Linked DNA regions of Daphnia pulex. The main gene of each other region encodes a partner of the protein of the gene in region 2 in a complex. Links are inferred from orthologs where the notes say so. Each region holds a gene or a part of one and is shown on either strand. Other genes may lie near its edges.

What was found. The genes of interacting proteins can lie anywhere in the genome.
Region 1: the proteins of serrate RNA effector molecule homolog (region 2) and nuclear cap-binding protein subunit 2-like are in contact, whole or in part, in a cryo-EM structure (PDB 8PMP), measured with the Homo sapiens proteins. The link is inferred for Daphnia pulex from reciprocal best matches to the Homo sapiens genes SRRT and NCBP2. Residues at the interface, in NP_056992.4 of Homo sapiens: Asp857, Arg859, Ala860, Ile861, Val862, Glu863, Tyr864, Arg865, Ala869, Asp874; in NP_031388.2 of Homo sapiens: Ser48, Phe49, Tyr50, Thr51, Thr52, Glu53, Gln55, Lys67, Met71, Leu73, Met76, Lys77, Lys78, Thr79, Ala80, Tyr89, Asp107, Glu121.

The regions. Positions count from the first base shown.
Region 1 is NC_060026.1:16,275,439-16,280,342, forward strand, and holds nuclear cap-binding protein subunit 2-like, read left to right. Parts: upstream 1-2,467; 5' UTR 2,468-2,663; coding exon 2,664-2,702; intron 2,703-2,847; coding exon 2,848-2,934; intron 2,935-2,994; coding exon 2,995-3,089; intron 3,090-3,153; coding exon 3,154-3,292; intron 3,293-3,350; coding exon 3,351-3,449; 3' UTR 3,450-3,546; downstream 3,547-4,904. Other genes in the region: hsp70-binding protein 1-like, read right to left, coding at 921-989, 1,056-1,264, 1,324-1,479, 1,540-1,761, 1,826-2,111. UniProt on the Homo sapiens protein: Component of the cap-binding complex (CBC), which binds co-transcriptionally to the 5' cap of pre-mRNAs and is involved in various processes such as pre-mRNA splicing, translation regulation, nonsense-mediated mRNA decay, RNA-mediated gene silencing (RNAi) by microRNAs (miRNAs) and mRNA export.
Region 2 is NC_060024.1:617,092-623,566, forward strand, and holds the start of serrate RNA effector molecule homolog, read left to right. Parts: upstream 1-2,582; 5' UTR 2,583-2,740; exon of another isoform or gene 2,741-2,857; intron 2,858-3,003; 5' UTR 3,004-3,031; coding exon 3,032-3,168; intron 3,169-3,227; coding exon 3,228-3,389; intron 3,390-3,447; coding exon 3,448-3,570; intron 3,571-3,640; coding exon 3,641-3,811; intron 3,812-4,371; coding exon 4,372-4,438; intron 4,439-4,497; coding exon 4,498-4,677; intron 4,678-4,749; coding exon 4,750-4,897; intron 4,898-4,964; coding exon 4,965-5,287; intron 5,288-5,353; coding exon 5,354-5,494; intron 5,495-5,585; coding exon 5,586-6,098; intron 6,099-6,178; coding exon 6,179-6,303; intron 6,304-6,367; coding exon 6,368-6,475. Other genes in the region: eukaryotic translation initiation factor 3 subunit D-like, read left to right, coding at 228-272, 328-434, 494-636, 696-1,053; uncharacterized protein R102.4-like, read right to left, coding at 1,493-1,637, 1,745-1,950. UniProt on the Homo sapiens protein: Acts as a mediator between the cap-binding complex (CBC) and the primary microRNAs (miRNAs) processing machinery during cell proliferation.

The DNA of each region.
Region 1 (4,904 bases), on a different chromosome or scaffold from region 2:
CTCTGCTAAGTGCATAGTGATCCAGTTAATTGTTGAAATTATTAACCGCAGGATTCCAGAAGTGGATCGGGTACGCCGACGTCAAATCAGTGCCCACCTACTTTTACGTGCAGAGAAGTCAACGTTTCTCCAAAGTCAACGTTTCCATCCCCTTTAATACGGCACTTGTCAACATCGGGAACGCTATTAATTTGACGACTGGGGTTTTCACCGCTCCTAGAGCTGGAACTTATTACTTTTCGTTCACAGGATTGGCCGAATTCCCAACATTTTCCTCTCTGCTCTATTTAGGCGTGGATTTGTATTTGAATGGAAATCTTATTGGAAGAGGTTTCGTTGAAGACCAAAACACCGTTGCAGGGCAATTCACTCCCGTGACGTTGCATTCGACGCTCAATCTATTACCTGGTGATCAAATCTGGTTGCAAATAGATTCCTTGTTGCCTCCGTTGATTGGCGACGGTACTGCAGCCCGTCGTAAAAGGCGAATGCTTCCGACAAAGGGAGTGATTTTATTCGACGATTATCGCCACTTTACTCATTTTACTGGATTGATGTTGGAGGAGGACATTTCACAATCGCTTTAATTTCTTTTCTTATTTTTAACTGATGCATTTAAAACAATTAAATTTTGCCTGTTACCTACAAACTTTTTCAGCAGAGACCTTCTTGTTAATACATATGTATTCTTTAGGATTGTAATGACCACAACAATCTTGAGGATCAATAGGATTGGTAGATTACGATAACAAAATTAGAGAACACCGTTCACGCTTCGATGGTTCACGAGAGAGTAAACAAACAAAAACGTAAAGATTATCAAAAGGACGTCGGTGTGTGTATTGCGCCTCCATATCATGAGCCTCTTTGTTTGCTTTTTAAATTCTCTTTCTATTGCCAGCAATCGAATGCCAATAACTTCACCTGTCTTCGACAATGTCTTCCTTGAAAATCACCGACAACAAAGTACGGCAATACTCGGCTTCCTCCTATCAAATGAAAATTCAAAGTTTAAAATTCGATTTCATTTTCAAGTATTGACTAATAATTATTACCAGACATTCGTCGCGATCTCCGATTAATTCGATGCGGTTGTCGAGAAATTCACGAAAGAGAAACTCTGATCTACGGCACTCCTCGATCGATGGGGGGTGGCTCTGGGTAAGTGCCAGCAAGGCGGCCAGTAGATGTTCGTGAGTCGAGTCGTGATCTCGTTGAAGCAGAGCCACAAACTGCTCCACAAATCCCATATTACATAAAGTATCTAGTAAACAGGGTATTGGTTAGAGTACAAATGGAGAAACTTATGAATGTGAATAAAACCTTTGAAGGATGGATTCTCATTGCATAAACAAGTCAACAAGAATGAAGCCTTGATTTTCAGTTTCCCGAGTGATGATTGCAGTGCTCTCAGTAAAGACGAGAAACCATCACAATGCACAAATGCATCCTGGGCTTCTGCACATTCTCTTGTCAAACCTATAATCAATCAATTGTTAACTGAATTCCCTTAGTGTGAGTTGTAAATCTGCTCATTACATGAAATGGCGTACAGGGCTTTGATTCTCGCCTCTTCACAGTCATCGTTTTCCAGCATTTTAAGCAAAATTGGCAATAGGTCTTCGTTGAGCACATGCTGTTGGCAGTATGGGTTGTTCTGGGTGAGGGTGCCAATCAACTGACAGCACCTCCAACGAACTCCATCGTGGGGAGAATTCAAACAGGGGATGAGGATGAAAAATCCTCCTATCTTGTGAAAGTCTGGAGAAACAAGCGAAACAAGTGTCAATGTTTTATTCAATCAATAAAAAAAGATATCTCATACCATTAGCCGTGTCCATGGAATCGGCAAAGTCAGTAATCATTTCCAATGCTTCCTCCATCTCCTGGGGATCTTCTTCAGGACTTTCGACTCGATCTGGATTGAGGATATTTAACGATTTTGATATTTCGGCTACAACGTCGACTGACAATCCTCTTAGAGCTTCTTCTAACCAGCGTCTCCTTTCTTCACTCATCGATGTGGTTGTGGTACGATCTTCAGCTGCGGTGCCTTCGATGGCAAATCTTAAAAGTCCTTGCATATCTCTTGGTTGTCGTGGGGGTTCCATTGTTTTGCTAAGGATCTCAACAACAACTTGTTATATATTTATGAAGAATAAGACGCAGTACGCAAGTTAAACCGTGAACGCATGGGGCAAGCAGACGTCAATGAAACTGTTTACTAGCAAAATCAAGAAGAGTCTGGAATAAAAAGAGCCATCTAGGCATGACTCGCATAACTTAAAAAATTTTGACATTTACAAAACAAACCTGTTAAGTTAATTAAGATTTGGATAAAATTCATTGAGATTTTAAAAAATTATTGAAAAAATCTGCGAAAGTGTGTCATATTTTTATTTGGTTTTTAATTGTAGTTTAACGCCGGAATGGGTTTCTAGCAAGTGACGTAACCTAGCGGCCGCCATAAGCATCTTTTCGAAAGTCACTCGCGTCAGGTTTGTTGTGTCAACGCACACTTTTTTTTAGAAAAAAACCACACCAATTTTAGTAATTTAAAACGCATAAAGTTTAGCCGGTTGATTGGCTGAATACAAGGACACTTAATTCGGAAGACACTGGGGTGAACGGTGTGATTGGTTCTCCCGAAATAATTCGTAGAAATGGCGGTTCCAAGCACATACCGAGACCAACATTTCAAAGTAAGCCTCATGAGTTGATAGCAGAATTGAAAATGTAACTTAATATACAGTTTTGAGGCAATTAATGTTTAAATGGAAATGCATACCTTAATAATTAAAAATATTTTGATATTTCAAGCCAAAATAACTGATTTCCATCTTTCAGGGTTCCCGGGTAGAGCAGGAGCGTCTGTTGAGTCAATCTTGCACCCTGTATGTTGGAAACTTGTCCTTTTACACAACTGAAGAACAGGTTAAATACTTCCAAGTCAACAATTGGTTCCATTTGATTTCATCTTTTCAAATATTTTAGATCCATGAATTGTTTGGGAAATGTGGCGATGTCAAGAGAATCATCATGGGATTGGACAAGTTTACTAGGACCCCTTGTGGATTTTGTTTTGTAGAGTAAGTCATTGCAACCAAATCCAATAACAAAATTGTGTTTAATTATTTCTAATTATCTTTCAAGGTTTTACCTGAGGAATGATTCAGAAAATGCCATCAGGTTTGTGAATGGGACAAGACTGGATGACAGAATTGTGAGAACTGACTGGGATGCTGGCTTCATTGAAGGAAGGCAATATGGCAGAGGCAAAACTGGAGGACAGGTCAGCATTTCGTCAGCTCAAACTTATTGTTCTCAACTAATGGATTTCTGTTTTGCAGGTGAGAGATGAATACCGAACTGACTTTGATGGTGGCAGAGGAGGATGGGGCAAAATGATTCAGCAGAAGGTGGCCACATCTGCTGCTGCTAACAATTGATAACATTTCTAAATACTGTATTCATTCATCTCTGTGTGTTTTTTTTTTTAACAAATGTCAACAAGTGTTATCCTCAATTAAAACAGACCATGCTGAATTGATTTCCTAAACAAAATCTTTTTTACCTGTGAAAGAAGACGTTTCTCGTCATGTTTCCATCTGCCAGTCCGGTTGGCCTGGATTTTATCGATCGAAAAGTGGGGACACTAGAATCTCTTGCCATGTGATCTGTCACTCCCAAAGCTTTTTCCTTTTCAAAGCGAAGCGGGTAGTTTCCCAGAAGAGCTTTTGCGGCCGCGTGATGCACGCCATCATCTACATGCAAAGAAATATTTGAATATTCAATTCCCAGTGGTCGTCTGCAACTTATAACGAATGTCACAATTGAATTTGTGTCAAATGTGAAGCTAATTCAATGATCATTGATCAATTAGATGATTTCCAAAATGGAAATGGTATCGATTTCTGATTGCTCGGTAGTTGTTTAGTTATTCCAAATTAAAACTAACTTATTTATCGTTCGAAGAAAGAATGTGCTTGACGTGACATTCAACGTGCATCTGAACTACCAGGAAAATTGTACTGAGTGAGTGTGTGTGTATCTGGTGTTGGCTGTTTGAATATTTCTGGGCGACGGCAATCGAGTTCTCTCCCACTGCTGCAGCCGCTGGAAGCATTCATGTCCGCGTGCCGATCCGCGTGCTCCGCCGTGAGGCTATAGCGGGACTGGTGCATGTTGGCTGGCTGCTGTACCCACCGCCCAGCACTACAGATGTTGCTTATTCAAATATTGACGTAAAACTCACGTGGAGCGACATGAACATTGCCCAGCACCTGTTGTATAATCTTCATCTTCCTCCTGGTGGCCATGCCAACAAAACGGGGCTGTTTCCCCCCCTGCGAATATCCGTTTATACATCATTTAATTCCCTCTGTTTGAAACTAGTGTAGGAGCAGGTATTGTGTCTGGCCGTTAAGTTATCGATTGGTTGGTATATTAGGTGTCGTTGACGGCCAACTGCGCATTTGGCGAAAACGATATCAAACGATACGAGTATTATAACGTCGTCTATTTATTTTTCAATTACACTTTGACAATGGCGTGAACGCCTTCAATGCCCGGCAACTTGTAGAAGGACAAAAGCAATTGGCTTTTCTTGATTTAGGACGGGCGTACGTAGTACAACTATAATATAATACGAAGCGGATGAAGCCAAATAATTGATTCCAGACGACGAAGACGTAATAGTAATAGAGCGACGAATGCGTCGCCCATTCTGGATATCAATCAACGACTTGTGACGCCGGTATGTAACACACACTGGATCGATATAATCGAAATGCGCATTGACATGGAATTATTCGCCGTATTGGTAAAATGTTGTTGTTTGGAATGATTTTGGCGAAGCGAAAGAATATCTAATAATAATGATATCGCTAACTGCTGGGCAATCT
Region 2 (6,475 bases):
ATATTGATATAGCTGATGTGATATTTCCACCAATCAACAATTTCTCATGAAACATTTTAATGGTATTAAAAAAGATCATGAATCAATGTGGAGGGAACCCTTATGATGCAGTGTCATTGGCTGAGAAATCGGCCCTTTATGCAACACAAATTCCATCTATTAAAAAAGCAACCATGGACGGATGTCAACATGAACTGGAGCTCTCAGATGATCCTTATGATACCAAGAGACTAAACACAGAGAACATTCCTTGTGTACTGACTTTGATGAAGGTTTGTAGGTTAAAACTTTGAATTTGAAATAAATAGTCTAATACTAAGTTTTCAGGAGGTGGTGTCCTGGTGGCACGTTGCGAACATGACGCTGTCACCGTTGGATCGGCTGGTGATAACCAATTTATCAACATCAAAGCTCTTAATGAATGGGACTCAAGGGTATGCATATTTACTGTTCGTAATGAAACTGTGTCTTTAAAATAATTTTGTACTTCAAGTTGTCTGGTGAAGTCGAATGGCGCCAGAAACTGGACACTCAGCGAGGTGCTGTTCAGGCCAACGAGCTGAAGAATAATGCATGCAAGCTAGCAAAATGGACTGTGCAAGCTCTGCTCGCCAACTCTGATTGGATTAAATTCGGGTATGTGAAGGCTCCTGTTGTCCTTCGAACATTATTGTAACTAATATTGTTTGCTTCAGATATGTTTCACGTATGCACTTACGAGATACATCGCGTCGTGTAATCCTTGGAACACAGCAGTTCCACCTGTCAGATTTCGCATCGCAAATCAACCTTAATATCGACAATGCTTGGGGCATTCTCCGTTGGATTAATGATTTGTGTATGAAGGAAGAGGATGGCAAATATTTGTTGGTGAAGGATCCTAACAAGCCCGTCATCCGCCTTTACAAGGTGCCCGATAACACGTTTGAGAGCGACGATGAAGCATTTTTCGGAGAAGGAGAAGGTTTGAAACCAATCAATATCGTAACGTGCGTGTGTAACTGCTGGCTTACTTTTATTGCTTGGGTGTTGGCCTCTCTTTTTTTTTACTAGCAAAGATTAAATAAACACGTCCAAGCAGTTAATCAAATTTCCCTACATTTGTACGCCGTGTTACGTTTTGCTTGAATTCGAAGCTCGAGCTTTGTATTTATGTATAATATCTAACCACTAGTGGAAGTGCTTGGCTTCTTGGGGGAAAAAAACCTAATTAGATATGCGACATGACTTAAGGTAGTTTTAAAAAAAGCGCTATAAAACGCATGATTTCATAACGACAACTACGAAATGGTAAATAACAATGTATTCATTTTTTACACATGAATAGAAGACGAGTAACGGCTGATAGAAACAAAAGAACAGCTCTTCCACTAATTCCCCAATCTACAACAATACTACGTTTGTAATGATCGTTACATGGAATAAAGCACTTATGAAGCTTCCAGTTTACTTATACAGCGTTACTTTGATTGATTTCATCAAAAACATACCCTTATTTGTCTTGAGCGAGATTGATGTCTTCAGGTGGGTTACTGCAGTGAACAACAATTATGATGTTCGTTTCAGTCATCGGGTAAGCAAGCCAACGAATATCTTGACCGATCCCGTGAACTTCCTTTTCAGTAGATTCAGCAAATCTTTTCACAATTGAATTAGGGGTAGCACCTGATATGGGCTCGACTTTTAGCATAACCATATTCGTCTCTACGGTATATCGATCAACTTCCACAACGCTTTTTCCAACCTCTTGCGCAGTAACAGCCAATTGACCAATTGTTTGGTGAAAATATGATCTTGAGCTACCCTGGTAGGTCCCTTTGAAAGTGACAAAATTCCGGCTGCGGCCAAAATACCCGCCTGCCGCATTCCTCCTCCAAGTGCTTTTCGACAACGATGAGCCTGAGTATGAGTGTTATTGAATACCTCCAGTTCATGTTGATATCCATCCATGGTTGATATTTTAATAGATGGAATTTATGTTGCATAAAGGGCCGATTTCACAGCAAATGACACTGCATCATAAGGGTTCTCTCCACATTCATGATCTATTTTAATGCCATTAAAATGATTCATGAGAAATTGTTGATTGGTGGAAAAATGAGAAATTGATGATTGGTGGAAATATTGACAAATTCCCCCCAAAAAACCTAAACCCCGTGAAAAAAACACCCTATCGGGAAACTCGCGCGCGAAGCAAGGGATCGGCATGTGTACACACTACGAACGGTGCGATGGTTTAGCCTAGCATGTGGCGCCACGACAATTTAATTTATCATTAGATCAATTAAAGCTATAATTAGGATTAAAATATAAAATTCATAACAAATACAAAATAAATAATAGAATGTAATAGCTAGTTGAATCTTGCTTTTGCCAATGGTGTTAATAAAAAAATCTTTAAGACTACTTTCTTACTAGGTACATTAGAAGTTTAATTCATAAATGATCCAATTATTAGAAAAAAACATTGGTGAAAATATATTTTTTTGTTATCTTATTAGTTATTACAAGAAATTAACTAGCTTAGCGCTTAGCGGCCTTAGCCTATGTCGCTTGTCAGTTGTCTCTCAGCCCAAGCCATGTTCTTCAGTTACTGATTATTCAAATCATAAGGCAGTAACAGTTTTACCCTGCAGGCGACAGCACTTGTATTCCTCAAACTTTCGTTGGCACCAACGGGCAACGGCGTTCTCAGTTTTCTTCTGATCGCGTGGCGAAATCAAACTAAACGCAAATTTGGGTAAAGTTCGAAGAAGATATGAAATTTATGAACATCAATAGTTTTATAGCGAGTTCTGTAACTTTGTGTGTGAAATTAAGTTTTTTATTTTACTTGCGTTGGTATTTGAGTATGCCGGTACATCGAATTGTTCTTATCAAAAATCATCTGCATTTTCGGCCATATTGCCACTTAGTTGGCAGTACTTTTACTTATTAGTTGATTAATTGATGCTTAATATTATAAAACATTAAACTAAAGTTTCCTCTTTTTTTTCTCCATAGCTTAAGAAGTAGGTCACCAACCTGTACCATGGGGGACAGTGATGATGATTATGATCGTCGCAGAAGGGATAAGTTTAGAGGAGAACGAAGTGAGTACCGGGGAGCTGGAGAATCTGGAAGGAGAGAAGAAAGAGGCAATCCTAGGAGAGAAGAGTGGAATGATAGGTTGGTTTGACAAATGCTCTGTTATTTTTAAGCTGTTTAGTCCAATGCATGTTTCAAAGTAGAGGCATCATGGAACCGAGAAGAGGTGAATCTTGGTCTCAAAGAGGGTCTCGTTCTCAACCACGTCACGAATATCGCGAATCTTACAGAGGTCGTGAAAGATACAGCCCAGCAGGTGGGTATGATGCACCACAAGCTCCAAAAAGGATGAGGCCTGACTGGTATGTTTTTCATACTAATATTATGCTGCCATTTATTAATCTTGTAAAATGGTTTTAGGGAAGACAGGCGCTATGGATTTGATGCTGGTTATGGGCCCAACATTGGCTCTTCATGGGGTCAGAATGAACCAGTCATTAATACTCCACCAAACGCTGGAAACTTTAGTGGATCTTCTTCAAGGTAATGTTTTTATGGTAATTGTTAGTTGTGTAGGGTTAATAATAATAATAAATAATGCCTGATTTTCCAGAGGGGAAGAATTTCCTACTCAACCACCAATGATGTCCTTTAAAGCTTTTCTGGCTGCCCACGATGATTCAATCTCTGACGAAGAAGCAGTTAAAAAGTATGCCGAGTACAAGCTAGAATTTCGTCGTCAGCAGCTGAATGAATTTTTCACAAGCCACAAGGATGAAGAGTGGTATGTTTTTGCTTGTTTTTTTTCTTGTTTTTACAAGTGTTAATATCAAATTTAATCAATATTTTAAGAATTTCTTATAAGTTTTCTTTTAAAGACTTGTGTGTTGTGTATTGCATTGAATTTTTCTGGTAACTAAATTATTTATAAGTTTTGCCGCGTGTAATCGGATTTCGGATAACCAATTTACATATATTTAATCCCCCCTGTTTTTCAGCCGATTGACATAGCTGCTATTGACGTCCCTCCGTTTATTTCAACCATCTCCGACCTTTCTATAAGGTGCCATACCATCTGTCAAAAGCTACTTGAAAATCAATTTTTTAACTGTGTGAACATGAAATGAACAGATCTCCAAAGTGTGCGTTAGAGTAGGGTTCAACTGCGCGCAATGCAGTGGTCAGTTAGTAGCTAGGTTATAAAAAATCCGTACCGGGAGAACAGGTGAGGGAAATCTTGGCCTCTTGAAAAGTGTGGTCCCTAGCTGGTTATTTTAATTCGAAGTTTTCAACATTAATTCTGTTACTAATTTGTTTTATTATATTTTCCTCGAACGAATGTAGGTTTAAGTTGAAATATCACCCGGAAGAGAATCAAAAACGGAAGAACGAGCATAAAGCTCATATTGAAGTAAGTTGTCTCTAATTTTGACAGATTCTGGTTGTAACTAATCAATTAATTCAATATAGTTACGCATGAAAACTATTTTGGATTTAATGGCTGAGGGTTCTTTTGATCAAGTGACTATCGATGCGGATCAGTCAGAAAAGCTAGTAAAACTTCTTGACACCGTGGTAATTAAACTCGAAGGTGGGAATGAGTTAGATCTTCAGGTCCTTGACAACCCTCCTCAACCAACCGCCGATAAGGTTTGTCTATTTAATTTCCTTTAATTGGTTATAACTGATTTTTTAAAAATCATTTCACTTTCATAATTGAAGCAGCCTATTAAAATCCAAGAGAAGGTTATCAAGGAGATTGAAGATAAAGAAAATGATGATTTGGGCGAAGGCGACGATGCTAAAGAAGATGGTGTGATCGAGGACTCCAAAATGGAAATTAGCTCTGACCCAAAAAGTCCTAATAACAGTAGGAATTCATTGTTATTAATTTTTGACGCACTGCCTTACCAGTATTTTTTATATTTATTTTATAGGTGGCAAAAGAAAACGAAGCGGATTTGAATCGGATAGTGGAAGCGACTGGGAGCGGGAAGGAAAGGAACAATCGGAAATATCTGAAGCTCCTCAAAGCCCTGATGGTAAGCCAGCTGGTGGTGAGGGTAGTCCTAGGGAAACCGAAGCAGCTGATGAAATTCCAGTAAAAGATGATGCCAAAGAAAAAGTTGATGAAGATGAAAGCAAGGAGGAAGAAAAAAAGGAAAATGGCGGGCCAGTTCTTCCCCGAGAATTGCATCGGACTGCCTCCATATTTCTCCGTAATTTGGCACCTACCATTACCAAACTGGAAGTCGAAGCGGTAATGAGAGTTTCTAATTTTTTTTGTTAGATTCAGTTTTCTAATCTTTAGCTTTGTTTAATGAAGATGTGCAAACGGTATCCTGGATTTTTACGTGCTGCTATTGCTGATCCTCAGCCAGAACGCAGATGGTTTCGCCGTGGTTGGGTGACGTTTGAGCGCAATGTTAACATCAAAGAGATTTGTTGGAATTTGAACAACATTCGAGTATGTTTCTATAAGTAACAATTAATTACTGTATGACTAATGGGTAATATTAACTGTTTTTTTTTTTTTTTTTTTTTTTTTAAATTTTTAGCTACGTGACACCGAATTGGGAGCCATTGTGAACCGGGATCTAAGTCGTCGCATCCGTACCGTTAGTGGCATAACATCGCATAAACAAGTTGTGAGGAACGACATTCGTTTAGCAGCCAAAATCATCCAAAACTTAGATGCACGTTTGGGACTATGGGCTGAGGAAGAGAATGATAAAGCTAAACATTCTTCGGTCGCTGATTCTACACTTACTTTCTCTGGCACCAGTCGCAACCCGGTTCTGAACAACATAACCGATTTTTTGATCGAAGAAGCTTCTGCTGAAGAGGAAGAGCTCTTGGGTGCCTCAGCTAATGAAGAAGGCGAAGAAGCTGAAGCAGCTGCAGGATTGACTAGAGACGACGAACTTATTAAAGTGCTGGATCGTCTGCTCTTCTACTTGCGTATTGTTCACTCGGTTGATTACTACAATCATTGCGAATATCCGAATGAAGATGAAATGCCGAACCGATGTGGCATTATGCATGCTCGTGGAATTCCTCCGTCATCCAAAGTAATATCGCCTGTGCGAAAGCATAAATTTAAAAAGAATGTTGTTTTTTTAGTTGAAACATGTATTTATTCGGAATGTAGGTTACCCAAAATGAAATCAATGACTATTGTCGATCTTTCGAGAATAAGATTGCATCATTTCTGGAGCCAATCAAACGGCTAAGTGATGAAGAAGCGAGTAAATTGGGTTTGAAAGAATCGAAAGCGTAAGGAATTCTTTTTTATTACTTTTTCTTGCGACATTTTACATAATTATACATTTTGTTTCAGCGAGGTCGAAAAGTTCGTTGCTGCCAACACACAGGAACTTGCCAAAGACAAATGGCTATGCCCTCTATCTGGCAAAAAGTTTAAGGGTCCGGATTTCGTTCGCAAACA